Linked DNA regions of Arabidopsis thaliana. The protein of the gene in region 2 interacts with the protein of the main gene of each other region in a pairwise test. Each region holds a gene or a part of one and is shown on either strand. Other genes may lie near its edges.

Region 1 (7,166 bases), on a different chromosome or scaffold from region 2:
GATCAGGACCATCAATCTGCTTCAATGTGGAAACTTCTCTCATTACCTTCAATACAACAAGATAAGAGCCTCATGTAAGATAAGCAACAGAGAAACAGGGAACTTAACTAAACATTAACAATTCTCAGAACAGTTCTTACAGCTTCCTCAAATGCCGCAAATGCTGCGTCTGGAAGATAAGCATATGTTGTACCACTGTCTAGTACGGCGCCATGTTCCCCGTCAAAGACTCTCGAATGAAGAGACAACTGCTTCCCAGCAACACGTATCCCCGTCAAATCTATATTGTAATATGGACTGTCGCCATCCCGAAACTAGAGTAAATGTGTGAAAGGTATTAAACGTATTTGTTAGGATTATACAAGATCCCATTCACCAATCAGAAAAAGCCATTCCCTTGGAAACATACCTACGATCAGGGTCCGAGTCCGTAAACACCATATCAGATGGATAATCAAAACCGCCAAGAATCATCGAACCACCACCAACATCCATCCCTCCATAACACAAACCAAAAGAGTTGCTTATCAAACCTTTATCCACCAATTGATCAACAAGACTAAGATCTCCTTGACCTAATCCAATAATCCCATCAGCACGTTGACTATAAAGATCACCGGTTTCAACAGTTTCACAACCGAAAACAGCTCGTTGAGGTGTTAGCTGGCTTTCATTGCCAAATGAAATAAGATCTTCTCCAAGAACACCTTTACTACTACTATGTTCAGCATACTCTCTCTCGTAAACACATTGTTCTCTATCATCATCACAATTACAATCCATGTTACACTTAACAGGTTGATAAGTGCTAGACATTTCTGGCTGAAATTTTGGGTCCTGATCAATAACCATAAGAAAGTTTCAAAATTTGCAACTTTACACGAGACAAGACACAAGATTTGGATATCTAGAGCCATCATTACCTGGTGTTTGCCACATTGTTCACAATCAGAACAAGGAACATAAGTAACAGTACTACCAGAATCAACTATAAGAGCAAACATTTGTGGTGGTGTACCAATCCAAAGCCTCGTAGTGTAATACCTACAAATACGATATAATAGTATATAAAAGAGACATCTTTACATGACCCAGATCGGGAAATATGGAAAAGGAGATTACCCATTAATAAGAAGATCGTCGTAGAGTCTCATGCGAGAGTGAGGAAGTGATTTTGAGTCGGATTTGTGGAGTTTTCGATGTGGGATTGATATGGATCTCGAAGAAGAATTTGGTTGAGAGAGGAACAATGGGAACACCATGGGACGTCGTGATCTAGCGGTTGGAGATTGGTGGAGGAGGTTGTTTTCACCAGCTGTGATTGAATAAGGAAGAGATAAATAGATTAGGAGTGAGAACGTCGCGCCGATTGATGAGATCGACGGCAGTGCCATTTGATCTCCGGTTGGATTTTTCGACCGTACCGTCGGAGAAAATTGGAGGGGAATCAAAAGAGCTGAGTGAGTGGAGAGAAGAGGGGAGACTCGAACGTAACTTTAGATCTACGGGAACCAAAAGCAGCTTTCTTTGAGACAAAACCCAGTTATTGAAACGACGTAGCTTTTGTGTTTTTAACGCATTTTTTTAACCTCTACTTTTTAACATCGCTGTACCAGTGTTTATTTATACTGTAGAATGGTTAAATAACATAAAAATCTTCCTACAATTTATTTGAAATCTTTGGCATGTTGTAAGAGATTTTACTCTATAGTAATTAAAAAGTATGTATTGTTTTGTTGTTGTCAGTTTTTTTATAGATTTAAAACGAAAAAAAAAAACTGATTTTCTAGACAATGTATTTATTTTTTGTAAGAATGTAGAAAGATTGATCTAATTTTTACGATAATTTCTAAATTGTCGAAAAATAATTATGTTAACAAAAATCCGATTTGACAGTAATTAATTTTATATAAAAGTGAAGTAATCTACCAAACCTATAGAAAAGGTTTAATTACTATCTATAGACTATAGAGTAAATCTCTTACAACAAGCAAAAGATTTTCAAATAAAAGGTTCGAATGTTTTCAAATAGATGTTAAATCTATACCTTTGTTGATTTTGATACTACATGTTACAAGGTCTCACTAATCATGGTTACTGTATAGCTCTATGAAAGGATTAACATGAAATTCATCTATACAATATGTAAGAATGTAGTTATCCTACATTTTGTTGACTAACTCAGTATGTCTCTTTGTATGATAATGTCTCACTAATCAAGGTTCAATTTTTAGATTTAGACTTGTTATAGATTTTGGTTATGAATCACCAAAACAAGTAACAAATATTTGAGATTTAAGATTATTCCATAGAAATTTTAATTCCTCTGTACATTTTGTTTTTGTTTTTAATTTTACCATAAACCCCAAAAATGAATGCTCTTGAAAATCCCCAATCGATTCAAGTTTTAACCCTAAACCAAAACTACTCAACCTTAGGTGTTATTACTCCACAATCCCTAAAACCACCATTGCCGCCGGATTCGTATAAACCTCCGACGACGAATCCACCACTTGTTTTCTGCATTTCCGCCATGTAACTCCTCACTTCAGCTTTTATCATCTCCTGCACCACCGTCATAAACTCACCTCTACGTCCTTCTCCTCTCTCCTCTACATTAATCTTCATCTGACTCTCAAATCTCGGAAACATCAACGCGTTGTTGTTATTGTTATGGCTCGAACTCGTGTTCTCAGCTCCAGGTAGTGACAAACTCAACGAAGTAGGTGGATCCTCCGAAGACGAAGACATTTCAACCGGTAACGGCTGCGGAACCACCGTAAAACCGCCGGAAATCGGCATTGGTTTAAACAGCTGAGCAACAGGAGACGACGGTGACGGAATCGTGCTAGAATCACTAACATCGATTCCGTTAGGACTCTCAGGACTCATGTACAATCCAGTATCCACCGGAGCAAAAGCAGAATCAAAGCTAACAGATCTCCTCTTCTTCGGCCGATCCTGATCTTCCTCCGTCTCCGTCACCGTCGTAACCGCCACACCTCCGCTGCATTTCCTCTTAAGCGTAGAGTTCCAGTGATTTTTAACGGCGTTATCCGTACGACCGTTAAGAAGACGAGCAATCGTCGCCCACTTGTTACCAAACTGAGCACGGGCGGTTACAATAGTCTCATCTTCCTCCGGCGAGAAAGGACGATGCTCAACCTCCGGAGATAACTGATTACACCAACGTAATCTACACGATTTACCAGATCGACCTGGAATCGATTTGCTAATCGCAGACCAATTCCTCGGTCCGTATTTCTCAACCATCCTTCGTAGCTGCTCATCTTCTTCTTGACTCCATGGACCTTTAACACGATCCGCCATTGAAACAGATCTTTTGTTTGTTTGTTGTAGAGAAGAAGAAGAAGAAGAAGAAGGTGGAGGAAACTGAAGAGAGGAGAAAAAAGGTATTTATAACAGAGAGAGAGATAGAGAGGAGGATGGATAATAACCGGTAACCGGTAGAGACGGTGGAGAAAGTCATGCACCGCTTCTTCCACGCAAGCGGTTTTGAAAGTTTTGGGATACAGCTGTAGGTGTACACGTGTCGTGATCTCGGTGCGTCTGTTTATTAGTTTATGGAGCGTGTGATACAGTCGAAAGAGAGAAAGGGGAAGCACGCGCGCGTGAGAAGAGAGTGGGAAAAGAAGGGAAGTTAAAGCGACAAAATCACGGAAACCTACAAGGAAAGAGCTCTGATATTATTCGCACAATCTGAGGTGAAAAATTAGAAAGCTGTTTTGAATGTTTATTTGAAAAATAATAATAATATCTGAGACGATAACGGTTAGGTTTGGCAGTTTGGGTAAAGACAGTTTTTTATGCAGATTTCTGACTTTTTTGACTGGACACGCCAGCCTGTATTCCTTGTTATGCAAATTTACCCTTTTCTCTGAAACTTTTTTCCTTTTATTTTATTTTGTAGAATACAAAACGACTAATTTGAATTTTTTTTTGAAGTTACATAAGGTTTAAAGTTTATGGGTCGGGAAATATTGGAGGATAAAATTTGATCACAGTGTTCTAAAAATATTTTTGTTTAATTTAAATGTTATTTTTGTTATTGTATTGTATTATTTTCAAATTGGATGATATATTTAAACAATAAAAATAAAACTGAAATTTTTGAAAATATAAATGTGTAGAAAATATAAAACGACATTAGACTGACACAAAAATTAAAATGCAAAACGACATCTAATTTGAAACGGAAAACGTATTAGATGTTTTTATAAAATATGTTTTGATTCGTTGAACTTGAAACGATATTCGTAACGCTTTTGACCAATAAAGTTTATACATAAAATCTGCATAGAATATAAAACGACGTTTAATATGACACAAAAATTAATATGCAAAACGACATTTAATTTGAAACGAGAAAAGTATTAGCTACTTTTAAAAAAGTATTTTGATTCGTTGAATTTGAAACTATACTTGTAACGGTTATGCTACGTTTTAATTATTCATAGATTTCTTTTTTTTTTTTTCTCGAGAATACAATACACATAATTTAAAATTTGTATATTTTTAAATTTTAAAGTAATTGCAAGTATAGAGCTGGCACTCTTGAAAGTAAAATTTTGATTACACATTTTTAAAAAAAAACATTAACTAATTTATGACTGGTTAAACAGTAATTGTAACAGTTTTGAGCGATGAAATTAATATTTTTTACTTCCTTTTGGTTTATCTTTCTAACTGAAAAAGGTTCAAACTGCCTAGTGCTACAAATTTGGGATAAAAATATTTGTATCGTTTATAGAAATGTGGTTCAGTTTTGTATGGTTTTTTTGTCTGTGACTATTTGTTAATGGTACGTTTTTGAATGCCCCAAATCAAAGTCATATAGTATTTACACAATACGGGAAACTACATTTATATGATTAGATACGATTAATATTCTGTTTCATAAACTTGTTACAAAGAAACGGCCACACAAGATAAAAGTAAGTGGTCGGAAAAATAAAAATAAAATTTGCTGACATGGACAACACGACAAAAGAGTGTTAGGCCAATTGGAATGTGAATGAAATCATATTTATTTATAATATATAGTTTTTGATTGACGAAAATCCAGGCTGTAATCCTCAACAAACAACTAACTGTCGTCCATTAAGCAAACTGCCACGTGTCAAATTTTTGGAACTGTTTTTGAAATTGTGTGTAACTGTCTCTTACGTTAGTAACGCACTAAACGTCATTTGCACCTTCTTCCCAACCTTCATCGAACGGTTTCACAACTTATTTTTTAATTTATCTTTTTCCGTATTTTATGTCGAATTAGTTACATACTAATTAGTCAAATTATAAACGGATTACCGAAACTATTTCAGTTTTGATGTTGTTGGTTTTCAGTTTACTGACCAAACTTTCCCTTAATTGTTATTTCTTTCATACTAATAATACATTCTAGTGACGAAACTAATATTATATGCTGTAATTTTGGGTCTGTAGAGATTACGGGTTTCGGCCCAAAACCTCCTAATATTTTAAAAAAATAAAAAAAAATAATAATAATAATACACTTAGTCTTGGTTATAAAAGTTAACAATATGTTTACTTTTATTATGTGTTCCACATTCTAACATGTCATATTTAAATGATGGTTTTCTTGGTGTATTTCTAATCGAAAACTTATCCTATTTAGGTTATATTATATGGGTTGAATTAGACTATAATATATACCATGTTAAGTTTTATTGGTTTGTAAACTAAATTGAGGATTTGTAAATTGTTTCGTGTTACTTTTTTTTTTTGTCGTAAATTGTTTCGTGTTACTTAAACATTGTTTAGATCTATTTCATTTCGGATCCAACATTTTATTTTGGGTCAATGTATAATTGACACGTACTTTTGCTGTACACTTAGCTAGATTTTGAAAGATGCACGTGAACATTTGGTGAACACATATACCTGAGAGACGGTGCACGATGTAGAATATAATTCCAACAATGTGTGTCTTAGAAACATTGTAATTAAAATATTGGTAATAGGTTGTTGTCAAAAGGAACAAGACGGTGCACGATGTGTGAATATATAAATCAAAGTATATCATTTGCTGTTTGTTGTTAATTAGGGTCCATGCTTCGATTGTCGGGTTTGTTCTCCTAATTTTTAAATTCATTTTTGTAAGGTTTGCCTAACAGAAAAACTCGTTCGATATATCTAAACAACGATAAGCTTTAAATAACATAAAGATCATAATACTAACACACGGTGGTAGATTAGTCGGTGTAAGAGGCGGAAAAACAAATATATGTTGACTGAGTTCATTGTATCATTCGAGACTTTCGAGTTATTTACCATTTAGTGGAATTTTATTTACAGGAATGAAAATTGTTATCTTGTCCCAAAAATATTCGTATGAATATGTTCTCTACACATATACAAATAATAAGTAACATTTAGGATAAACTGTATTCGTATTTATTAAGATATTCATGTTGTTGCCGTTAGTCATATTGAGTGTTAGTTGTTCCATTTAGCCGAGCTCTCTTGGTAGCAAGGGTTCGATACCATTCTCTTCCAATGTGGTTAAATGTGTAATTGTATAAAGTTAATTCATTTTTGTTACTTCTATTTAGAAAATAGATATAGAATTGTTATTCATAACTCACCGTAGACAAACTAAAAATTTAGAAAGCCAAATTGGAATATTCAAATTTTAGCATTTTAATATTCATTTGGTTGAGGAGGAAGAGCCACCAACCAAACCATTGAGTCTGATCATCTTGATATTATTGTAATTTATGTTTGTTTAATATGATCTTTTTAATTTCATTTAAATTAATATTATTGTTTATTATAATTAATGAAAATCTAAGAAACAAAAAAACTTTGTCTTCTTCGTTTATTCATCGTTCGACTATGAAAACAAAACATATCCAAAAAATCAATTGCGAGATTGATTGAAAAAACAAAAATCAACAAAAATATATATAAATAAATTATATCATATGAATTTATATTCAACAAAATTAATTACTTCGTCATTTTTTATAGTGGTGCAAACAAAAAAACTAGTTTGGAGGTTTAAAGAATTAGTAAAATTACTTTGATGGTTTATAAATGTTAGTAAAAGAAATTCGAGGTGTACCAATGACACTTTGAAGGTTAAAAATGTGATTTCTTCTTTTTAAAATCTCTTAAAGAACTAT
Region 2 (7,340 bases):
GAAGTGTTTGGAAGATCGAAAACACCGATAACGTTACTGAACATAACGCAAATGTCGAATTACAGGAAAGATGCACATACGTCGATATACAAGAAGCAGTGGAGTCCACTTACAGCGGAGCAGCTGGAGAATCCAACGAGCTATGCGGATTGTGTACATTGGTGCTTGCCTGGCCTTCAAGATACTTGGAATGAGCTTCTCTTTGCTAAACTTTTCTATACTTGAGATAAGAGAAAACATTTTTTTCCTTTGAAGACGACAGCGCTTTTTGAGTTTGGAAAGAGATCTTGTGGAGAAATTGTAAAATTTAGTCATTGAATTGATATTGTCTTTTTTGGTTGTGAGATAAAAAGGTTTGACAAATCGAGAATGATAAGTAGCCTCTAAACAGTCTAACTAATGTAATGTAGCAAAAAGAACAAAAAGTGGTCTCTACTGTAATCTTCTAATTTATAAGTGCTGATTCGCCAAACCTAACTGACAAAACTCGTGTTCCGGTGTTCCGATGGGCCTTTATTGGGCTTAATTGTTTTATGTTGTTTTCTATATTGGACACACATAAAAAGTATTAACACACAAGTTTAATTGTCTTAGACCGAACATGAATGGAAGTAAGAAAATTCAAATCATAACAAAAAAAATCTAATCTTACATAAAATAAAGATAGACAATAAATCAATAATATCAAATTCAGGTTATAAACACACACTCACAAATATAAAATCAAACAATTTCGTTAATATAATTTTGTTAAACTTGTGAAATTAAGATGATTTTTATAATATGAAGGTAATGAAAATATTATTTTGAAGCGAATGAACTGTGAACTCATATATTCAGAATTTTATATTTTTGGTAGCAAACCATGTATATAAACCTAATAAACAAATAGTAAATCGACGTTTTCATTAATTTTAAAATCGTATTTGATAATTTTCAATTACTATATAGAAGATTTTTATCCGCGTTGATGTTTTCAACATTACACACCACTCACACCGAAATGCTTCCAAACCTAAAATCGTAGAAGTTAAAATCATGGACGAAAATATCTATCCCCAATAAACTTTAAGGAAGGAGGCGGTGTTCTTCACGTTACATTGAATTTGGTTTGCCTTTTTCAGACACACTCATATGTATATATTGGATAAATCATCTATTTACATTTTATAGCAAACTTTATATCTTATTCTAATTAGTTAAAGTGTTAGATAGCCCAGCTAAAGACTATATGAAAATACGAACTATCTCCGTTGCTTTTTAAAAGTAATGCATATTATATCACAGCTATGTACGTTATCACAATCTTTTATGCATGTTTATTTGGATTTGAATTATTAAGAAACTAGTTAAATAGTAGTAGTTTATATGCAACATGCCACATTGGAATATACAAACCCCATAAATCGTATCTCTCTGGATTGGTCAGAATTTTCATTTTTTTGACACGGGAATACATATGTTTTCATATGTAAATAAAAGGGAAAAAAATTTCTTATGGGTTTATAAAATTAAAAAAAATGTGAAATAAAATATAAGTAATATAATAATAGTGATCAGAAATAGGAAGACAGAAAAGAAAATAAGAAAGGTGGGTGGGTTTAAATGTCATTATACAAACGACCAAAAGAGGGAAAACATTAATAGCCTCCTTGCCAACTTGCATATCAACTTGCAATTCCTTCCTTCCACGACAATGTTTACATATATATTTCGTACTCATTATGATAATAAATTAATAATCATTTATGTAATCAATTTGATTTTTCTTTAACCTTTTTTTTATTTATGGAATATTTTTTAAAGGTGTCAAAGAATAGTAGCGACTTTTTTTTTTTTCCTTTGCAACTTGCATGCTTTGTTTTTTTTCTATAACAAGTTGGATTTTATTACACCCCAACTTGCATTTTACGTACGATCATATACATGAATGTCTATATATGTATTCAATTTTGAATTTGGTTCACAAGTCTCGAAATCTTACTACTTAATTATAAAGTAACTAAACACATTTTGCTTTTGCAAACTTTGAATGTCTTTTCATCTTGTTCATTGGATTCTTTATATTTATATAACTAGATAAAGTTATTTGATTTTTCAAATGTACATTTTTATTCATGAACTAATATATAGGACAAGGAAATCCGAAAAAGTAATAATTTTGACATTTGAATTATTGAAACGGTTCACGCATCCCAAAACTATAAAAGGAACTAAGAAATTTTATCATTTTGGTATGTAAATAATTTTGATTTATTTTTTTGGTGAGTAAAAACAAAACATTTACGTATTTATGTAAAGTTTGTTGATGAAATGACAAATAATTTGAAAATTTTACGTTTCCAAATTAGGGAATTAAAGATATAATGCTGTATTACCTGACACCATTTATTTTGGCCTAGCATTATATATGCCATAAAGAAAATTCTTAAGATTATATCACATAACTCAATACATGCATTACGCCTTGGTTCAAGTTTAATTATCACTAATTGATATTATTCCATCTTTGCTTTTAGGATTGAACGCTTTGATTATATAGCTGGTGAGCAAATTCATTTAAAACACCAAGTAGTATTCTACTGTTTATACATTTCAATAAAATTCAAATGATGTATAGTTTTACTTTGTTCTTCTCTTAACATAAAGGAAAACGAATCATCTCAATCAGCACATGTATGGGTTTTCTGATTGCCCACAATTGTTCAGATCTCTTCATATATAGTAGATATGCCAATGATTATATTAATCAAATTGTTTGTGTAATACATTATTATGTAGGTTATCAAAATTAATGAAATTAGACATAATAATATCGGAAATATCGTAACAATATACCCCATGCATTATAGCTGAATCACTATATAGTCTATATTGTTTCATGATTAACTAAATTAAAAGACAAATAATAAATATGTAAAATACGGCGCAAGAAGAAGATTATGAAAATAACTAAACAATCAATGTTTATATAATAAAGCTACGAGAGCTGTACAAGAAGAAATGGTTTTAAGGGTAAAACCAAAGTATCGTTGAGACATACATTTAACAGACCCTAAAAACCCTAACTTCGAAAAACCAAAACCATCTTGTTTGATATAATTCTTGTTTTTTGTTTTAGTTTCGAAAAATCCCCGACGATAGTTAAATACTTAAATCTTAAAATCCAAAACCACCTCGAGAATCCCAAAAATAAAAGATAAATTTTGAAAGAGAGAAATATAGAAAATAAAATAAAAATAAAAAGATTGAAAAAATGTAATTACGAGAATTTAGAAGTGTTCTCGGCGAGTTTAGCCAGCGATTGCAAGTTGCACCGTACTATAGTATCAGCAAAGCTACAAGTCTCTTCCTTATCGTTACCCGCCGGTACGTCAACGACGTATGACTCAACGACACGTGTCCTCTTCTTGCCGTCGGAGTCCTCCTCCGACTCATGCACCGTCGTCACCGACTTGTAGTTCATGAGTCTGTGGTCCCCACCAACGACGCTGAAACTGATGACGTGGCGATCATCGTCCATGATCTCAAGCCGCTCTAAGCTAAACGCCGCGGGGAGACCAGAGACGACTCTGACCTCTCTCACCGACCCAACCTCTCGACCGTCTCCGATAACCACGTGGCAGCTTTTCACGAAGTGTTTGTACGCTTGAGGGTGTTCGAAGCGGCTTAGGATCGACCAGACTGTGGAAACCGGAGCCTCCACGTCTTGTACCACGACGGAGAAGCACTGAGAAGGACCAACCACGTGCGTGTGGGAAAGCTCCACGTGCTCCGGCACATCAGCCATCCCGCGCGTGAGGCTCACTTTTTGAACCTGTTTCTGATGGTGGTGGGGATAGTTTCTTACGGTGGCGTTGGCTGCTTCTGCGGCGGTGGAGGATCTCTGAAACTGTATCGACGTTGGCATTATTAAAGCAAATCTTTTCTCTATATCTCTTTTAATATTCTTGGCTCTCTCTAAGAAAACAAATGGTTTTCTTCGTGAGGTTGTATTAATGAGAGATATTTACATGTAATATACAGAACTATATAAGGACAGAGTGTTTATATATAAAAATGCAAGTATGTGGATTAGGAAAGAGAGTTAGTTTGTGTGGGTTCTTCGGTTGTCCACTTGGGATTTGTTTGGAGTTTGTGTACTGCTTCAGTTAAGAAACGTCTCTCTCTTTCTTTATATCAAGGACCGGCCCGGTTTCCCATGAAATTCTACGGACTGGTTCTCGATATTTAATATAACCGGTTATTAAATTTTAATTTTGTTTTTCCTTGCTTTGTTACTGAGGCTGTCTATTTGTCAATGGTGCTATATATTTCACCAGTTTATTACAATGAATGAGCATGTTGTCGTAACCACACAAGCATTACTATAATTAGAATGGACGTTTTTATGTTTTAACCAAAAACACTCTTGAATGAAAGTTGAGAAAATGAAATCAATATCATTTAAGATACCGAGAAAAAAATTCTGAACTCATCTCTATCTCACCGATTATATCAATATTCAGAATATAAAAACATTGAACATTATCTTTGAGGTTTTGCATAGATATTTCAATCTTCTACTGTCTCGAGGCTATATATATAGCTAACTCTAAAACGTTATTAAAGATTATAAGAACATGATCACTATGTGTCGAGTTGGTTAAGCTATATATATTGGTTAAGAGCTATACTTAATTTATGCATAGGTTTGAAAAAATTCTTGAAACAAATTGGTTGGGAGGACCGACCTTTGTCTTTGTGATTGCCGATCTATTTTCAGTTGGTACTATTCTTGGATGCGTTTTTGGTGGATTTTTAATTTTGTTGGAACCTTCTGACTAAGGTAAAAATTTCAAAAATAACTCCATAGGACTTTCAATGTTCCAAGTTGGTGAAGATATCATGTCATGGGTCCATCATAATAATCTTTCCTCATCTTGTAATCAACTTGAGCCTTTCGACGATACTAAAAAAAGTATTAATCAAATTCCTTTTCAACAAAGAAAAGAACAGAATATTAATAAGACGAATTAGAAGAAAATCAAACTAAGCAGTTTGCTAAAAGTAACCAACGTAAAGTCAGGGAAATTTACGAATTGGACAATATTTCTTGGGTGTGTTTTCTTCCACAAACGTATATTCAAATCATATGAATATATTGGACTCTTGGATTTGAGTGGTGGGCATAATAACAAAACACAATTGGGAAAAATAATAAAGGGTTATCTAATGCATTAGTTTTTCCAACAACTATACATATTCCCAAGTAGCCCTAGTTGTTAAGATTAATACGAATAAGCGAGCAATTTGCAGTACTAATTATATCTGACATTTTATAGAATAAGAAGGACAAAAAGTTACAATTTGCTATTTTTTGCACCATCCTCGATATAAAGATTGCTCATCTTATAAGCTTTCGGGTTAGGTGACATAATCACTCACCAATATATTACTGAACACAAATAGATTACAAGTTGATGTGGAAAATGTATTAATATTACGGTGATACATTTTTGGGTTCAAAGAGTCAATCTCAAATCAATGCATCAGACGTATTTTGTTACAACAACATAATTTGTGCCAACTTTTTTTTTTGTCAAAACATGTATTATATATCCAAGATTTAAATTCCAATGGTGAGATAGTGACAAACATTAGTATAAACAACTCGACTCCATGTCATTATTATTTTTGTGCAAAAGCCGGTTGTTTGTTTGTTTGTGAATATTTCTCGAGAAATAAATCTCCAATATGCATAAAATATTATTCCACCTAAAATTATTAAATCCCCAACTATGATTATAAACAAAATGCACTTAAAATTTCAAAAATAAGTATCGAAAAAATCAAAGATAAGCTTAAATTTCGATAGATATTTGAATGAATCAGATTACAACGTGATATTAAGAGAAGATTATCGATCAAAAAGTAATTAAAAGGAGAAATTGTCCAAAATAGTTGCATCTCATTCTTGCGGAGAAGAGGACACATTGTCAAAGGGAACTTGTGGAGGTGCAATACCCACCAATTCATTGGATTTAATTAATTAACAGTTTGCCAACTTGATTTCTTCATTTTTCTAAAGGCTTAGAAGATCTTCAAGATTCGAGCAAGAAAAACGATTTTGGAGACCAGAATGGAATAGTTAAAGCCTTTTAAATAATATACAACTATGTCCCATTTGCACTTTCAAATACCCAATTTGCCTTTTGTAGAAAATACAGATAGATAACTCTCTAATGATAACTTTATTATTCATACCTCATTGCTTATGTAATCTCAGACAACCTGAGGAAAGTCTGCAGACCAAAAAACTCCACTACTGGATATTTCCATTAAACTAAGCCAAGTTTCTTGAATAATCAAAACTTGCCAAGTCAATAAAACCACTACGCAACATCGCATTATTCCATCTCCATTCTTAAGGATGAAAATTAGATGTGAGAGTATCCAAAGTTCAAAGATCAAAACTTTATAGCTTATATGCATCCGAAGTTCAAAACTTTGATATGTACCGAATGTTATAAACTTTTTCTAAACCCAACGTTTGAACTTCTTCATATGTCATATGTATTCACAAGAAAAAGAAAGAAGGAATCATATTTGAACTTGTCCTACATTACCTAACTACATGTACTACGTCTCACAACCATTAATATCAGAAAGTATCAGTAGCTTCAAAGAAGGGCAGCTTCTAGCTAGTAACAGCTACACCGTCTCGGAGCAGAATCACAAACTTAGGCCAGTCAAACGAAATTTGAAATCTTATGTAGATCCATGAACATCTTTGTCTCCTCCAAAATCCAAGTCCTGTATGTCAAGATCATTGAACCTGCGATGGTCTAAATCAATACCATAGTTCTCCATATCACTGGGCTGCACATAAGGACATCCATAATCAACTCCTGGTTGAGCAATCTCCATAGGGTTGAGGCTCCCGAGCAAGTTAGAATTTGGAAACTGCGTTTGGTAACTGAAATTTGGGTGTCTATCCACTTGATACTGCATTGTCTCTTGACCAGACACATTGTTGTCGTTTAATATACCCAATAGCTCATTAATATCAAACGTTTCATCCACACCAAACTCCAATGGTTCTTGTTCATTGCCATTTCCCATCAACCAAGCATCCAAAGTCTCCCTTTTCGAGTCCTGTCCAATTCCAAAACCAACAGCCAAGTTATGTTCTTCCCTCACTTCCTCTTTTCCTTTCAGCTCCTCTTTAATACACTGAGAACTATCTAAGAGAACATATTCATCGCTACAATCCTCTAGTTTCACCTGACCAAAACCTGAACTTGCATTTGTATCCTCACGTGCACAAACTTCAGATTCATCAGAAAATGCAGTAACCG
Region 3 (9,409 bases), on a different chromosome or scaffold from region 2:
TAAGAAAGAAAAAATATCGTACTTTTCAATGTCCTTAAAAATACAAATTTTTATGATTTGACTACTTCCAAATTTCTTTAAATGAGTTCAAATTCAAATATTTAAAATTTCGTAAGAAACAATATACATATAGAACAAGAAACATCTTTTATGGACGGCCAAATCATGTTGTTTTTTGCTCTACAAATGAAAATCATATACTATTACTAATTAAATTATATGTTGTCTTATAGCTTCGGAATCTTTCTAAACATGATTCACCCCTTTTCATTACAGGACCCCACTATAATTAAGGTTTCTTCTAAAGTGGGATCCATCTGATCGAACCATCTCATCTCACTCTCAGTTTATGAAATCGTGATCTTTTGGAAGAAGAAATCAACGCAAATGGCTGACCAAACTAGAGAAGCCTTTCTCTCTCGAAAAGCTTGCTCAGATTTCGGATTCAATGATTCAAACATCATCGATGACCGTCGTTCCAAGTTCCGGTGTTTCCGATTTTGCTCCGACGGGATCACTGCTTCCTGGAAAGCTTTATACGACATCGGTGCTAAATTATACGAGATGGGTCGTTCCGATCGTCGGAAAGTTTACTTCTCCGTTAAGATGGGGATGGCTCTCGCACTCTGTTCTTTCGTCATCTACCTTAAAGAACCACTCCGTGACGCTAGCAAGTATGCTGTTTGGGCGATCCTTACTGTTGTCGTCGTCTTTGAGTATAGTATAGGTACTGTGACTCACGAATTCTATAGATTCAGATCGATTCTGGGGTTGTTGTTGTTCGATCAAATCTTCCGGATTTTGATTAAAAATCAAAACTTTCGTCTTCTTCGATCTAAATTCTCATTAGATCTGTCTTAGGATTACTTGTCTTCAGAGATCTAATTTGGCTCTAACTCTGTTTTTTGAAGGAGCAACATTGGTCAAAGGATTTAATAGAGCTATAGGAACACTCTCTGCTGGAGGACTTGCTCTTGGCATAGCTAGACTCTCTGTTTCAGCTGGAGAATTTGAAGAACTCATTATCATTATCAGTATTTTCATTGCAGGTTGCACTATTTCTCTCAATTTTTATTAGAAATGAACCTTTTTTAAATAAACATACTAACTTTATTTTTGATACTTGTGAATCTGTTGGTTTGTCTATCAGGTTTTTCTGCAAGTTATTTGAAACTATACCCGGCGATGAAGTCGTATGAATATGCATTCAGGGTGTTTTTGTTGACATACTGTATTGTTCTTGTGTCTGGAAACAACTCTAGAGATTTTTTTAGCACTGCTTATTATAGGTTTTTGCTTATCCTGGTTGGTGCTGGTATCTGTTTGGGTGTGAACATATTTATACTTCCCATTTGGGCTGGAGAAGACCTCCATAAACTAGTTGTTAAGAATTTCAAAAGTGTGGCCAATTCACTTGAAGGTAGAGAGATACGTCAAATGGCTGTTTTCTCTTGTTTCGTTTCGGGTTTTGGCTGTTTTTTTATGTCTTGTTTTGTTTGTGCTTTCCTAAAACTTTCAGGATGTGTTAATGGGTACTTGCAATGTGTTGAATACGAGAGGATTCCTTCGAAGATTCTCACTTACCAAGCTTCGGATGATCCATTATACAGTGGATACAGGTCTGTAGTCCAATCTACGAGCCAAGAAGATTCTCTGGTGTGTTTTCCTTAGGACACTTTTGTTGAGCAGCAACTAGATAACTTGAAAAGGATTTAGATGATAAGATACGATGACCTCTTTTTTCCTCAGCTTGATTTTGCAGTATGGGAGCCTCCACATGGACCATATAAGACTTTCCACCATCCATGGGCAAACTACGTCAAACTTAGTGGCGCAGTAAGGCACTGCGCTTTCATGGTCATGGCAATGCATGGCTGCATTCTTTCGGAAATTCAGGTAACTTACCATATTCTTGTTAAATACAACTTTATCTATCATAGCAAATGAGGTGCTATAATGGTTATTAGAGACTATACCAACCTGCTTCAAATGCTACTAGTACCTCTTCGTGATTAACTAGACTGTTACTCTGAGAAGTCGGATATTTGTCATATAATTGTTGAGTAGGTGCAAAGTGGGATCTCCTAGTTTACTGTTGTTACTAGTGAATGGTTTTCTTTGAGTTCAATGCTTGTCGTATGCCCTATAAGACTTGTGATATCAATTGGTGTGGGATTTGCAGGCAGCTCCAGAAAAAAGGCAGGCTTTTCGTCAAGAACTTCAAAGAGTTGGAAACGAAGGAGCCAAAGTCTTGAGGTTGTTTGGAGAAAAGGTGGAGAAAATGGAGAAGCTAAGCCCAGGGAACGTTCTCAAGGATGTTCAAAGAGCAGCAGAGGAACTACAGATGAAAATAGACAGTAACTCCTTCCTACTTGTCAACTCAGAAAGCTGGGCTGCTATGAAAGAGAAAGCCGAAGCTGAAGAAGCGCAACAAAACTATCACGAAGCCAAAGACGACGAGTCTAAAGTGATTCAATCCCTCAGCCAGATATGGGACAATAACAACAACCCTCATCATCAGAATCAACACGCTGGTAATGATTCTCAGCTATGGATATCAACAGAGAGTATGATGCTTAGGAACCGCGAAAACTGGCCAAGCGTCTCTTTCATAGGCGGTTCTATGATCAATGAGATAGAATCCAAAGTATATGAAAGTGCGAGTTCTTTGTCGCTAGCTACATTTGCGTCTCTTTTGATCGAGTTTGTTGCAAGGCTCCAAAATATTGTTAACGCGTATGAGGAACTAAGCACTAAAGCCGATTTCAAAGAACAAGTTAGCGAGACACGGATATAGAAAAAGCTGGACTCTGGACCAGACTCAGTAGCTGCTTCAGCTCCAGGGATATAGTTGATTTTGTATAGAAAATTATATACATTATTGCTTTGTTTGTTTGCTGTCTTGAAATAAGTTCCTAATTCCTTTTTGTTTTGTTTTGGCAAAGTCATAAACTCAATTGGAAAGTTTTGTTTTTCTTTCATTGTATCAATTGAATCAACTGTTTAATTTTTTAAAGCAAAAAATTGATTAAAGCCCAACATAACCCAATCCTAAGAAAGCCCAAAATGGCCCAATTAGACACTTTCGTCATTTTATATCTTTCCCTTTAATAAATCCTTCGTAAAAAAAAATCAAACGCAGAATATTATTTTTCTCGCTCGCGAATTCCTCTTTCTCACCTTTTCTCGCTCCTGGGAATCTGAAGCAGTTCTTCTCCGACGCCTGGATCGGTAAGTTGATTTCCAGTTTCTTCTTAACGAATCATAAGATCTCATCTCTAAACCTTCATTTTCCGATTCACATTCCCTTTAATCCAACTTCGAACCGGTGAATCTGAACCCATTTCTCGCTTCTTCTGTTTTATTCATACCCGATTCGTTTCAAAATCTGCAGTATAGTCTTAATCTGTTTGTGCAAGTAGAGAAAAATCAATAAAGCCGAAGATAACACTCGAGTGGCTATAATTGTTTTTTCCCAGGATCTGTAAATGATTTCTCGTATTTATTACTAAATATTTTATTCGAGATCCGAAAATATCTATTGTTTCGTCTCTTATAGCAATGAGCTCATAGGAATTATTTTTGGTGTTGCAGTGATTTGATTCGAACTTTCACATAAGATGGCTATGGTAGATGAACCGTTGTATCCCATTGCTGTGCTTATAGATGAGCTTAAGAATGATGATATTCAGCTTCGTTTGAACTCGATCCGTCGCTTATCTACTATAGCTCGTGCTCTTGGAGAGGAGCGTACAAGGAAGGAGTTAATCCCTTTTTTGAGTGAGAATAGTGACGATGACGATGAGGTGCTTCTTGCAATGGCTGAGGAGTTAGGAGTTTTTATTCCGTTTGTTGGAGGAATTGAGTTTGCGCATGTTCTTCTTCCTCCTTTGGAATCTCTATGTACTGTTGAAGAGACTTGTGTGAGAGAAAAAGCTGTGGAATCGCTTTGTAAGATTGGATCTCAGATGAAAGAGAATGATCTTGTTGAATCTTTTGTTCCTCTTGTGAAGGTTAGTTTAGGAGATTTATGTAGCACTAGATTACGCCGTTTTGTTAGTTGGTTCAATCAAAGCTTTTTTTTTTGTTTTGTTGTTTGTCTTGTAGAGGTTAGCGGGTGGTGAATGGTTTGCAGCAAGAGTTTCTGCATGTGGTATATTTCATGTTGCATACCAAGGTTGCACTGATGTGTTGAAGACTGAGTTACGGGCTACTTATAGCCAGTTGTGCAAAGATGATATGCCAATGGTGCGAAGAGCTGCTGCATCTAACCTGGGGAAATTTGCTACAACTGTCGAGTCTACCTTTTTGATTGCTGAGATCATGACTATGTTCGATGATCTTACTAAAGATGGTACTTAATGTTTGAATATATCGTACTTTATATGTGCTCATCACTTAGAAATAGTTTGCATAGACCCAAGAGTATGGTAAAGAGATCACATTTGAATTAATAAACGCTGTTTGATGAAATATATTGGATACTTACCTCTTCAGAAATGTTTGTTTTATCTGTGCTTATATTGGTTAAACTTTAACCTTCATTTCAGACCAAGATTCTGTGAGACTATTGGCTGTTGAAGGGTGTGCAGCTCTTGGAAAGTTGTTGGAACCTCAGGATTGTGTTGCACGCATTTTACCTGTTATTGTTAATTTCTCTCAGGTGAATTGAGCTTTGTTTTTTTCATTCATGGATTTTTCAGTTAATTGTCTGCTGTTCCATGTTTAATTTTCATCGGTAAAAGCTTGCTGTTCTGATGTTTTTCTATGGTGTTTGTATTGATTTCTGAGAGCAGGATAAATCTTGGAGGGTGCGCTACATGGTTGCTAATCAGCTATATGAACTTTGTGAGGCAGTGGGTCCTGATTGCACGAGGTATGTGTTTTGTGACATTGTTGATTTTTTTGTCATCCTTGCTAATCTAGGCTTTCGTTCTCGTAAAACAGTTTTGTGACCTTCAAACAAATATGCATCTAAGAGCGTCTATTGGAAGTTTTCTTTATTCTTTTTCGTTCATATAAGAGCCTTCCATGGTAGTTCTATGTTTGTACATGTATCTTTTTATTTTGACACAATTTATGTTATAATATCTCTAGGACGGATTTGGTTCCAGCATATGTGAGATTGCTAAGGGACAATGAGGCTGAAGTGCGAATAGCAGCAGCGGGAAAAGTGACCAAGTTCTGTCGGCTTTTGAATCCAGAGCTTGCGATTCAGCACATCCTTCCTTGTGTGAAGGTAAGACTCCTTAAATTCTATATAAACGAGTTGTTTGATGTCCCCTGTCTCGTAATATTCTGATACATACTGATGTCTGGCAGGAATTATCATCGGATTCTTCTCAACATGTCCGCTCTGCTCTAGCTTCAGTAATAATGGGGATGGCTCCTATCCTTGGGAAGGTATGAACTGAAGATAGCCAACATTTTCGCATCTTGTGACAATGTTCTGAGATTTAATTTGTTTTATGGTTTTCATCAACAAAATCAGCCATACCTTGTGTTATGGCGTGGTTATACCAGCCCCAACTGGTGTTGCAGACCTTATCAAAAAATTATTAACATACTAAAATCTTTCAATACAGGACTCAACCATTGAGCATCTGTTACCAATTTTTCTTTCCCTTTTGAAAGATGAATTTCCTGATGTGCGCCTTAACATCATAAGCAAGTTAGATCAAGTCAACCAGGTTTGTTGCATCTCTCTTGTGTGCTTTAGATACTACTTTTATTGCTTCCTTATTTAGTTGGTGACTGAATTATCTTTTACGGCAGGTTATTGGAATTGATCTACTATCTCAATCCTTGTTACCGGCCATTGTAGAACTTGCTGAGGATCGGCACTGGAGAGTCCGACTTGCAATAATAGAGTATGTTCCACTGTTGGCCAGCCAGTTAGGTATAGGATTTTTCGATGACAAGCTCGGAGCCCTTTGCATGCAATGGCTGCAAGACAAGGTTTACCTTGAATCTTTGATGTTTGCATAAATTTCTCATTCACTTGTTATTGTAGATATTGACACTGTTCTCCTCCTTCAGGTCTACTCTATCCGCGAAGCTGCAGCAAACAACCTAAAGCGCCTCGCAGAGGAGTTTGGTCCTGAATGGGCAATGCAGCACTTAGTTCCCCAGGTATTCTTTGAGCATTTTATACTAAAACCATCTGTCTGTTTATCTTATTGTTGATCTATGTCAAGTACCTCACCTATAACATCTAATCTCCAGCTTTGGTCCCTTTTCTTTGGATATCACTAAAGCTGCAAATATTGAGATCTCCAGATTGACCTTTATCATATAAACAGGTATTGGACATGGTCAACAATCCGCACTACCTACACAGGATGATGGTTCTACGCGCAATATCTCTCATGGCGCCTGTAATGGGATCAGAAATCACATGCTCTAAGTTTCTTCCTGTGGTTGTTGAAGCATCAAAAGACAGGTACAATAGATAGATTAGAGGATATGAATAAGCCAAACTAGTTTAAGAACACTTCTTAGTTTTTAATGTGTTGTTGTTGCACACCTCTTATCTCTGCAGAGTTCCAAACATCAAGTTCAACGTTGCCAAACTTCTGCAATCCCTCATCCCCATAGTCGACCAATCAGTACGATCATAACAAACATAACTCAGTTATATCGAAAACTAATGGAAATTGTTGAATTTTAATGTTTTTGCCGTGTCAAAAATTTGTAGGTGGTGGACAAAACAATCCGTCAGTGTTTGGTGGACCTGAGCGAAGACCCTGATGTTGATGTTCGTTATTTTGCAAATCAAGCACTTAATTCCATCGATGGTTCCACAGCAGCACAATCCTGAATTGTTTTTTTTTCATATGTATGATCGTTAAGTTAAGTTTCTATTATTCGTGTTCTCTGCAATTTATTTGGTTTGTTTGTGTAAAACGCCATTTTGGTTGCTGGCTATGAACTGCAACTATTTTTGTTAGTAAAATTGTATTACCTTTTTTACACTTTCTGTTGTTCCAAACCTTATACATTCTTCTTAGTTTACTAATGCTAACACTACTCCCTTAGTGAAACTATTTGAGATAGAGTGAAATGCGTGTGGCTATGTTTGGTCTTCTGACTAGTTCTTGTTTCAAACTTTATCCAACCCCTCTAGATCAACTTTGTTCTATTCAATTGATTTTGTTTTTCTAATAAACACAAAAATCAATACATTAGATTTTGATACAAACGCCCACAGCCTCCTATTCATGATTCAACAAATAGAAAGCATAAATCATTTGACAAAATAATTTTAGCCACAAGGGTTAGCCCGCTTTTAGCACCCTCTAATAGCATAATATTCTACAGTTATATCTCCTATTTTCCAAGAGGAGGCATAGGCTAATCAAGCGGTCGTCAAAACTTCACGGGCTCGCGAGCTACGATGTTGGAGACGACGGTGAAGCACCTCAGACATCTCAGTGTAGAAATCAGCATCCCATCTCTGAATCAACAAAGGATCTTCAGCAAAACATATGTATATCGATGTCACAGCGCTTTCGACTACCACCATTCCTAAACCCACCTGAACACCACATTGGATCAATGAAACAAAGTGAACAAGTTGGTCATGTAATTTTTTGGGTGACTAAAAGAGTGCACAAAAGAAAACTCACAAGAACCATTCCCATCAACATAGCCGTAGATGCAACCATTATAACTCGGTCACTGTACTTGATCCAAGCCCATATACCAATGCAAGAGCCTGTGATGAGTCCTCCAAAGATGGTTCCCATCAGAAGTACAGCACCAGAGCAGTCATATGCAACAAGTGCCTCTACACCTGTCGACTGAAACAATTCCCATGCGTCTCTTGCTGATTTGTTGAATCCTTTTCCATACACTGCAATCTGATAATTAACCAAACGTTTTTTTCATTCTGAGTCTCATTGCTCATAGGAGGGAGATGATGAGCTTGTTTAAAAACTGTCTATATTTATATATATACCTGGACGTATGCATACTTGTTAAAAAAACGAACTAGTGTTTCAACTAGATGAAACAGGAAATCAACGCAGCAAAGTAAACATTCGTTTCCACAAATCTTGGACCGGAATCCCCTTATCTGCAAAAGAAAGTTGCAGACTAATGTTATTAACAAGAGGAGCAATGATAATGTTTTACGAACAGCAAAGGATGCTGGAGACTACCTCCCAGCGAAGTGTTCTAATGGCAGCAGTGAAGAGTGAACCGTAACATATGCTCCCAAAAGATGTTGTCACGGCATACCTAAGTGAGTCTACCAAAGAGCTAGGAGGCAACGATGATGACTCTTCTTGACCACAGTGAAAGAGAACATGAAACACCATCCCAGAAACTATAACATGGACAGTGTTACATAGCACAGCGCCTGTCCAGAATAAGCTAACCGAAAGAACCTGCATATATATTATATGTTCCAATGATTGAGTGAATTCTAAACATGTTTACTTTCAGACACTTAAAGCAGAAAACAGAAACCGTGAGTAAAAATGCAAAACTTGCCAGCTCACCACAAGAAGCCACCATCGTCCCTCATCGCCCATGCTCGATGCCACAACACCAGCTGCTCCAAAAGACCATAGAGACATCCACAAAAGCATGACTACTGTGAAAGCATGTGCCACCATTATCACCTTAGGAAGTCCCCAGACTAATTTCAGCGCTTTCCGTAGGACCAGCATTGTGAAAGGAAGTCTACACATGAACAACTCAAATCATCAGAACTAAAAAGTTGTTGCCATTTGACCATAGGGGTTCAGTCATAGTTCAACCAGTTCAACCTCGGACGCACCTGTCTATAACTGAAATAACATACAAGAACTGCAACAGAGATCCAACAGCGAATGCACCGCCCCAAAAGAACAGTCTGCACCAGAAACATAGTACACTAACTACAGCTAGATAGGTTGTTAAGATGTGAACCGAAACTTTCATCATCTCATTGGCGTAAGAGCCAAGCAGCAATGACCAAACCCAACTGATAAAGACTCCAATGCCACCAGCAACAGCATAGAGAGGCCAGTAATCCTCTGTTAGACCTTTATGATTCTCCAAGAACCCTTGAGTGTACCTATCGATGTTTAACCTATCTGATATTCTAAACCTATTGAGTCCAAGCACCGCGAGCACAAATCCCAAACAAATCAAGTGGATCACAAAGATGGCTGACCAGAATACATCATGCCAATGGCGGGACTCACGCACAACGGCTCGGTTTCCATCTCCACTCCTTCGACTCCGCTGAAGACTCTGCAAATCAAAATGAAAACATTGATTCATTCAAATTACATCATGGACGAGTCTGAGACCTACAAAAAGCTATGCTTTAACATAAGCAACGACTCTGAAACTTCATATCAGTACAATGCAAATACATAAAGTGATCAAACTCACACAAGACACATTTTCTATCAAA
Region 4 (7,496 bases), 3.6 Mb from region 2:
AATAGCTAAAGTGGCCAAGCCGGAACGCATTCAGCAGTTTAGACCGGTGAGCTTATGTAATGTTTTATTCAAAATAATTACGAAAATGATGGTGACCCGGTTGAAGAATGTCATCTCTAAGCTAATTGGGCCGGCCCAAGCGAGTTTCATCCCTGGGCGTTTGAGCATTGATAACATTGTGTTAGTACAAGAGGCAGTCCACTCTATGAGGAGGAAGAAGGGGCGGAAAGGCTGGATGTTACTCAAGCTGGACCTTGAAAAGGCCTATGACCGTGTTAGATGGGATTTTCTTCAGGAAACGTTAGAAGCTGCTGGACTGTCTGAGGGTTGGACAAGCAGAATAATGGCAGGAGTTACAGACCCTTCAATGAGTGTACTGTGGAATGGTGAGAGAACAGACTCTTTTGTACCGGCTAGGGGATTGAGACAAGGGGATCCGTTGTCGCCGTATTTGTTTGTACTCTGTTTGGAGAGACTGTGTCATTTGATAGAGGCGTCAGTTGGAAAGAGAGAATGGAAACCGATAGCAGTGTCATGTGGGGGGTCGAAGTTGTCACATGTCTGCTTCGCAGATGACTTGATTCTCTTTGCAGAAGCTTCGGTAGCGCAAATTAGGATCATTCGTCGGGTGTTGGAACGGTTCTGTGAGGCCTCGGGACAGAAAGTCAGCCTAGAGAAGTCGAAAATATTTTTTTCTCACAATGTGAGTAGAGAAATGGAGCAATTGATAAGTGAAGAGAGTGGGATTGGTTGCACTAAAGAGCTGGGGAAGTATTTGGGTATGCCAATCTTACAGAAACGAATGAATAAGGAGACGTTTGGAGAAGTGTTGGAAAGAGTTTCAGCTCGGTTGGCGGGTTGGAAGGGCCGATCTTTGAGCTTGGCAGGGAGAATCACTCTGACAAAAGCGGTTCTGTCTTCTATCCCGGTTCATGTAATGAGTGCGATTCTTTTACCGGTCTCTACGCTTGATACTTTGGATAGATACTCCAGAACTTTTCTTTGGGGGAGTACTATGGAGAAGAAAAAACAACACTTGCTATCTTGGCGTAAGATATGTAAGCCGAAAGCTGAGGGAGGGATCGGATTACGGTCTGCTCGTGATATGAATAAGGCCTTGGTAGCCAAGGTGGGGTGGCGTCTGCTTCAAGATAAAGAGAGCTTATGGGCACGGGTTGTTCGCAAAAAGTACAAAGTGGGTGGAGTACAAGATACTAGCTGGCTGAAACCACAACCAAGATGGTCCTCCACGTGGAGAAGTGTGGCAGTAGGGCTCCGGGAAGTGGTGGTTAAGGGCGTTGGATGGGTGCCTGGAGATGGGTGCACAATAAGGTTCTGGTTGGATCGCTGGCTGTTGCAGGAGCCGTTGGTGGAGCTTGGGACTGATATGATACCGGAGGGGGAGAGAATAAAGGTGGCAGCCGATTATTGGTTGCCGGGATCAGGTTGGAACCTGGAAATTCTGGGTTTGTATCTGCCAGAGACAGTTAAGAGGCGGTTGCTCTCGGTTGTGGTTCAGGTTTTTCTGGGTAATGGAGACGAGATATCATGGAAGGGTACACAGGATGGGGCCTTCACAGTCCGCTCTGCGTATTCCCTCCTACAAGGTGACGTTGGAGACAGGCCGAATATGGGGAGCTTCTTTAACAGAATCTGGAAGCTGATCACGCCTGAGAGAGTACGGGTGTTTATTTGGTTGGTGAGCCAGAATGTGATCATGACTAATGTGGAGAGAGTCCGGCGCCATTTGAGTGAGAATGCTATATGTTCGGTGTGTAATGGAGCCGAGGAAACAATACTCCATGTGTTGCGTGACTGCCCCGCTATGGAACCGATTTGGCGTCGGTTGCTGCCACTGAGACGACATCATGAGTTTTTTAGCCAGTCTTTATTGGAGTGGTTATTTACAAATATGGATCCAGTAAAGGGGATTTGGCCTACTCTTTTTGGTATGGGAATTTGGTGGGCTTGGAAGTGGAGGTGTTGTGATGTGTTTGGGGAACGAAAGATTTGTCGGGACAGGCTGAAGTTCATCAAAGACATGGCGGAGGAGGTGAGGAGAGTACATGTTGGTGCTGTTGGTAACCGGCCTAATGGTGTGCGGGTGGAAAGAATGATCAGGTGGCAGGTTCCAAGCGATGGGTGGGTGAAAATTACCACGGATGGAGCGTCCCGTGGGAATCACGGGCTGGCTGCGGCAGGAGGGGCCATCCGGAATGGGCAGGGGGAGTGGCTAGGTGGTTTTGCACTAAACATTGGATCTTGTGCAGCGCCATTAGCCGAGTTATGGGGCGCCTACTATGGGCTGCTCATTGCGTGGGACAAGGGGTTTCGACGAGTGGAGTTAGACTTGGATTGCAAGTTGGTGGTGGGTTTTTTAAGCACAGGGGTAAGCAACGCTCATCCGCTGTCCTTCCTGGTACGGTTGTGCCAAGGCTTCTTTACGAGGGACTGGTTAGTCCGTGTGTCACACGTGTATAGGGAAGCTAACCGTCTCGCTGACGGGTTAGCAAACTATGCCTTTACCTTGCCGCTAGGGCTTCATTGTTTTGATGCATGCCCAGAGGGAGTCCGTTTACTTTTGCTCGCAGATGTTAATGGAACAGAGTTCCCTCGAGCTGTTTTATTGTAATTTTTTGTAGTTTGTTCTTAATAAATTGGGGTAGGCAATTGCCACCCCTCAGCTTACCAAAAAAAAAAATCATACTAGAGTCAAATTATTCCATTGTCGACTTTGATTAGCATGTAATCCTAAGCCGACCAATGTGTGTGTATGTTGTGTGAAACATATGCTTTTCAAGTTTTAATTAATTAGTGAAGGAGGATTTGACATTAACCAAACAAAATATTACAAATTGGTGTAACTAAGATATGATATATGTTCATTTATTGATGTTTTTCAATTTTCCTATATTCCTTATTATATGATATATATAGTTATGTATGTTTCAAGAATTCGATATGGCACGCATGATTGAAGAATAATGATTGAGGAATTTTTCTGTAACAAAAAAATTTGAAATAAACAAATATGTGGCTAAGAACTTAACAAGGACACATGTTGATATGTGAAATAGGAATCTTATAATAAGGAACAAAAGGTTGAAAGCAAAAGGGTATTTATTTAGTTTACTTTCCTATTCTGAACCCTTAACTTCTGCTATCCTTTCCACCAACAATCTAATAGTATACTCTCTCTCTTTTTTTTCCTCTTCTTCTTCTTGTCCTTCGATTTTAGACCAACTAAACATATCAATATATTAAAGTAGCATCTCTCTCTCTCTCTCTCTCTCTCTCTCGCTCTTTTATTTTTAATATCAATTTTGTTGTCCAAATTCTCATCTCTTTGGGAAAACCCTAGACTAAAGATTCCAATCTCTTTTCTTCTAAATATTTCTTCATTTTTTCCCTTTTTTGATTTGGGTATGTTGGGTCATTGAATCTTGTGACTGCCATGGCAGATCTTTTGGGGATCTGCATAGAAGAGTTGCTTCTTGTAGCAGCTTTCAGGTAGCTGTGTCCAGCCTGCATCAGATGTTATTAACTCACTACACACCAAACACCACAATAACAACAAAACGGCAAGCATTTTGAAGAGGTAAACAAAGCAAGTGGGCAACAAAAACGGCACGCAAGTTTTTCTTCCAAGTTAAAACAACTCTTGGAATGTCATTTTGAAAGGTAAAAAAATAATGGGACTTAAAGGATATAGCGTCGGAGAAGGAGGAGGAGAGATAGTTGAGGTTCAAGGCGGTCACATAATCCGAGCCACTGGACGCAAAGACCGTCATAGCAAAGTGTTCACATCAAAGGGTCCACGTGACCGGCGCGTGAGACTCTCAGCTCACACGGCGATTCAATTCTACGATGTGCAAGACCGGTTAGGTTATGACCGGCCTAGCAAAGCCGTTGATTGGCTCATCAAGAAAGCCAAAACCGCTATTGATAAGCTTGAACTCGGGGAGACTACTACTACTACTACTCGTCAAGAACCGGTGAATACTAAACCGGAATCTCCCACTTTGGTTTTCCAAAGAGAGAACAATGACCAAACGCAGTTCGTGGCGGCCAATCTTGATCCTGAAGACGCAATGAAAACGTTTTTCCCGGCGACGACAACAACAAACGGTGGTGGTGGTACAAACATCAATTTCCAAAACTACCCTCATCAGGATGACAACAACATGGTCTCAAGAACAACAACACCACCACCAAACCTTAGCCAAGATCTTGGTCTCTCTCTTCACCCATTTCAAGGGAACAACAACACAGTCGTAGTTCCCGAGACCAACAATTTCACCACGACTCATTTCGACACGTTCGGGAGAATCTCTGGATGGAATCATCACGACTTAACTATGACGTCATCATCCTCATCAGAACATCAACAACAAGAACAAGAAGAAAGGAGTAATGGTGGTTTCATGGTGAATCATCATCCTCACCATCATCATCATCAACCGTCGATGATGACATTGCTTAATAGTCAGCAACAACAAGTGTTTCTTGGTGGCCAACAACAACAACAACAAAGGGGTACCCTTCAGTCCAGTTTATTCCCTCATTCGTTTCGTTCTTGGGATCATCATCAAACGACGTCGGATCATCATCATCATCAGAATCAAGCTTCTTCGATGTTTGCTTCATCATCACAGTATGGTTCTCATGGGATGATGATGATGCAAGGCCTTAGTTTCCCCAACACTACAAGACTACTCCACGGAGAAGAAGCTACTCAACCAAACTCTTCTTCTTCTCCTCCAAACTCACACCTCTAAACTAAGGTTTGCTTCTTCTTTTTAATGTATTTATATATTTTAAGTATAATAGGTTATTAATCAAGAAACCAGACAATAATTAAATCTTTCATAATTAAATTACCACATGTATTTCTTTCAGACAACCATGGAGGTTCAAATTCATGATGACATGCATTGAACAAGAAGGAGGAAATTAATGTGATGAATGGAGCTAGAGTAAGCGCTATATTAATTAGTATTACCATCTATCCATATATTTATGATTCAAGACTATTATTACTCATTTAGTGTTTGTTATTATTATTCAATTTTGCTTGTTTGTTTCTTATCATCTTTGCATTGATCATCAAGATTGTGATATTTGAAAAGATGGGTTTTATGTGTGTTTTGGTTTAGTACTGGCGTTAGGCTGGGATATTGTAATCTCATATTTTTGTTCTACGAGTGAGTTTGAATTTTCTGGTTTTTACTTGCGGTTTCTATTTCTTCGGTTAAGTAAAGAGTAATTGAAGAACGTTAAAAGCATAGGTCGTATTACATGAGTAATGAAGAAAAAGGTGTTCATTATCATCTGTGCAGATACCAATTTTCTTTTGTAATATAGCTTAGCTTGCTAAAAAGTTGCGACTATTTAATAGAAAAGTCAAATTTATTACAAATTTGGGATTTTTATGAAAAAGTTGCTATTGAGTATTCAATGCTTTGTGACAGTGATACCAAAGGATCTCGATAGTTTAGTCTGCTTTACTTGGTCTAATTGGGTTTGACAGAAGATTTTTCTATAATTCATCTTGAAATAATTGTTTTAGTCATATAGATAGGCGGGCTATATAGAGAATGACATTTATCACTTTTTGGCACTTTTACATATAGTATATATATATGTACATATATTTGGTTTGATGAAATACATGATAATATATTTAGGTTAAAGGAGTTTGTACTTTGTTGTCACATGATGATCATTAATATTTTTCCCAACGATGATCATCATTTTTATACAAGACGTTAAAAGCTACAGAATGTTCGTACTTTTAAAAGTCATCTACTGCGAGAATGACTACTTTGGCCTTTTGATTATGGATTGTGCTTGGATTATTAGAAGAGTTCAACAAAAGGATTACAACTTCCATCTACAGTTTTGTTACAAAAGGATTGTACTATATGTAAGTGTAACCCAACAAACCTAAACCAACAGACAGGAATGCGGTAGAGCAAACCGGTACAATCAAAATCAAACACCCTTCATAAAACTATATCGGATACGCCAAACAATATGAAAATATATGTCTCTGTGTTTAGTTTTTTTCGTGAAAATAAGATTCCGAGCAATATGAAGAGCTAAAGTGTTGTCACTGTAGAGTACACAGAGAGAGCATAAGAAGCATGCTTTATATATTTACATAATATAAAACCAAAATATATATTTACATAATATAGGCAATCCAAACATGTTCACAAATTCCAAGAGCCATAACTTTGTATTTAGCTTTGATAGACAATGAAATGGATGAATTTTCATTGAACATAAAATCCAAGATACATAGTACATACGAAATTGTGGATAACTTGCCTAGTCATAAGCAGTGAAACCTCAAATATATAGGTCTAGAGCAGCAAAGTAAAAACAAGCTTTGTCCAATGCTTCCTTTAAGAAACAAACAATCTTATGAACTATATGTCCCTTGGTGCATATGAGAATTGACCTTGTTTACCACCAAAAGAAACATTATCAGACAACATCTCGAAGATGTAACTTGCGTTGACAAACATAATGGTTTTTTTTTTATCTAACAATTTCCAAAATAGATAAGTACCGAAGATGACCAAGATCCTTGAGTTGGAAGTAATTAAATAGCCGAATTGTCAATTACAAAAAAGAACCAAAATATCATATGGTATCATCCACATAAACCAAAATACCAACAAAACTTTACCATAATACAATATATATGATCAACATTAAATATTATCAAATCTCAAATAAAAAATAATAAAGAGTTCTAAGAACATTTGTGGATAGATCATAAATAGATTTATAAAGTTTGCAAAAATCTATCATGAATTCTCCTTTTCGTCCTACAAATATTACATAACAATATGTAAACCACTTCATCCATATAAGCTGAGTCAAATTCTCAGTTCATCTTCGCTATATGTATCAACTTATCGGAATCACTTCTATTATTAATGGAAAAACCGAATATCACATAATGAGAGGTTTTAATTTCTACATAAAACTATAAAAGCCATGGTTGTATAATCAAATAGGACTGTGGGAGTAATATAAGCAATTGAAAAGTATAGGGAAAATATAAGATTCTACAAGTGATAATGTCCTATTTTGTAAATAACGATCAAATAAATTCCAAACAGTTTTAGACCAAAAACCCTTTGGTCATCGTCACCAGAGATTAGATCTAAAACCCTATCAGAGACCATTTCGCGTGAACAAAGATGGCGGGGCCTTTGCTTCGATCTCTTTGGTCAAACACCACTCGAAGATCCTTCTCTTCTCATTCATCACCTTCCAAATTCGGATACTCGCTCTCCTCCTTACGCTCCTTTTCAGCAGCCACCGCTTCCACAGCTGCAGCCGGAGCTCCTAATAGCTCGCTTGACCCTAATCGACTAAGAAACGTGGCTGTGATAGCTCATGTCGATCACGGGAAGACAACACTTATGGACAGGCTTCTTCGTCAGTGTGGTGCTGATATCCCTCACGAGCGTGCTATG

The links.
Region 1: the proteins of PYL6 (region 2) and MYB77 interact in binary tests that used the Arabidopsis thaliana proteins (3 or more experiments, as listed by UniProt).
Region 3: the proteins of PYL6 (region 2) and RCN1 interact in binary tests that used the Arabidopsis thaliana proteins (3 or more experiments, as listed by UniProt).
Region 4: the proteins of PYL6 (region 2) and TCP10 interact in binary tests that used the Arabidopsis thaliana proteins (3 or more experiments, as listed by UniProt).

Annotation. Positions count from the first base shown.
Region 1 is NC_003074.8:18,555,722-18,562,887, forward strand, and holds MYB77 (myb domain protein 77), read right to left. Parts: upstream 3,606-7,166; 5' UTR 3,331-3,605; coding exon 2,425-3,330; 3' UTR 1,886-2,424; downstream 1-1,885. Other genes in the region: AT3G50050 (Eukaryotic aspartyl protease family protein), read right to left, coding at 1-46, 141-297, 410-837, 924-1,044, 1,123-1,394. UniProt on the Arabidopsis thaliana protein: Transcription factor involved in auxin response. Functions in auxin signal transduction and modulates lateral root growth. Interacts with ARF response factors to promote auxin-responsive gene expression.
Region 2 is NC_003071.7:16,841,915-16,849,254, forward strand, and holds PYL6 (PYR1-like 6), read right to left. Parts: upstream 4,281-7,340; 5' UTR 3,911-4,280; coding exon 3,263-3,910; 3' UTR 2,674-3,262; downstream 1-2,673. Other genes in the region: TBL33 (TRICHOME BIREFRINGENCE-LIKE 33), read left to right, coding at 1-225; DREB2C (Integrase-type DNA-binding superfamily protein), read right to left, coding at 6,751-7,340. UniProt on the Arabidopsis thaliana protein: Receptor for abscisic acid (ABA) required for ABA-mediated responses such as stomatal closure and germination inhibition.
Region 3 is NC_003070.9:8,948,080-8,957,488, forward strand, and holds RCN1 (ARM repeat superfamily protein), read left to right. Parts: upstream 1-3,082; 5' UTR 3,083-3,231; intron 3,232-3,594; 5' UTR 3,595-3,620; coding exon 3,621-4,013; intron 4,014-4,107; coding exon 4,108-4,354; intron 4,355-4,550; coding exon 4,551-4,663; intron 4,664-4,796; coding exon 4,797-4,876; intron 4,877-5,097; coding exon 5,098-5,239; intron 5,240-5,322; coding exon 5,323-5,403; intron 5,404-5,585; coding exon 5,586-5,690; intron 5,691-5,775; coding exon 5,776-5,958; intron 5,959-6,039; coding exon 6,040-6,132; intron 6,133-6,302; coding exon 6,303-6,442; intron 6,443-6,541; coding exon 6,542-6,608; intron 6,609-6,697; coding exon 6,698-6,820; 3' UTR 6,821-7,081; downstream 7,082-9,409. Other genes in the region: AT1G25480 (aluminum activated malate transporter family protein), read left to right, coding at 388-727, 912-1,049, 1,151-1,420, 1,520-1,656, 1,750-1,896, 2,183-2,797; AT1G25500 (Plasma-membrane choline transporter family protein), read right to left, coding at 7,358-7,537, 7,629-7,862, 7,961-8,077, 8,163-8,390, 8,505-8,688, 8,786-9,243. UniProt on the Arabidopsis thaliana protein: The A subunit of protein phosphatase 2A serves as a scaffolding molecule to coordinate the assembly of the catalytic subunit and a variable regulatory B subunit. Seems to act as a positive regulator of PP2A catalytic activity.
Region 4 is NC_003071.7:13,218,266-13,225,761, reverse strand, and holds TCP10 (TCP domain protein 10), read left to right. Parts: upstream 1-3,152; 5' UTR 3,153-3,692; coding exon 3,693-4,778; 3' UTR 4,779-4,784; intron 4,785-4,899; 3' UTR 4,900-5,284; downstream 5,285-7,496. Other genes in the region: EMB2785 (elongation factor family protein), read left to right, coding at 7,218-7,496. UniProt on the Arabidopsis thaliana protein: Plays a pivotal role in the control of morphogenesis of shoot organs by negatively regulating the expression of boundary-specific genes such as CUC genes, probably through the induction of miRNA (e.g. miR164). Participates in ovule development.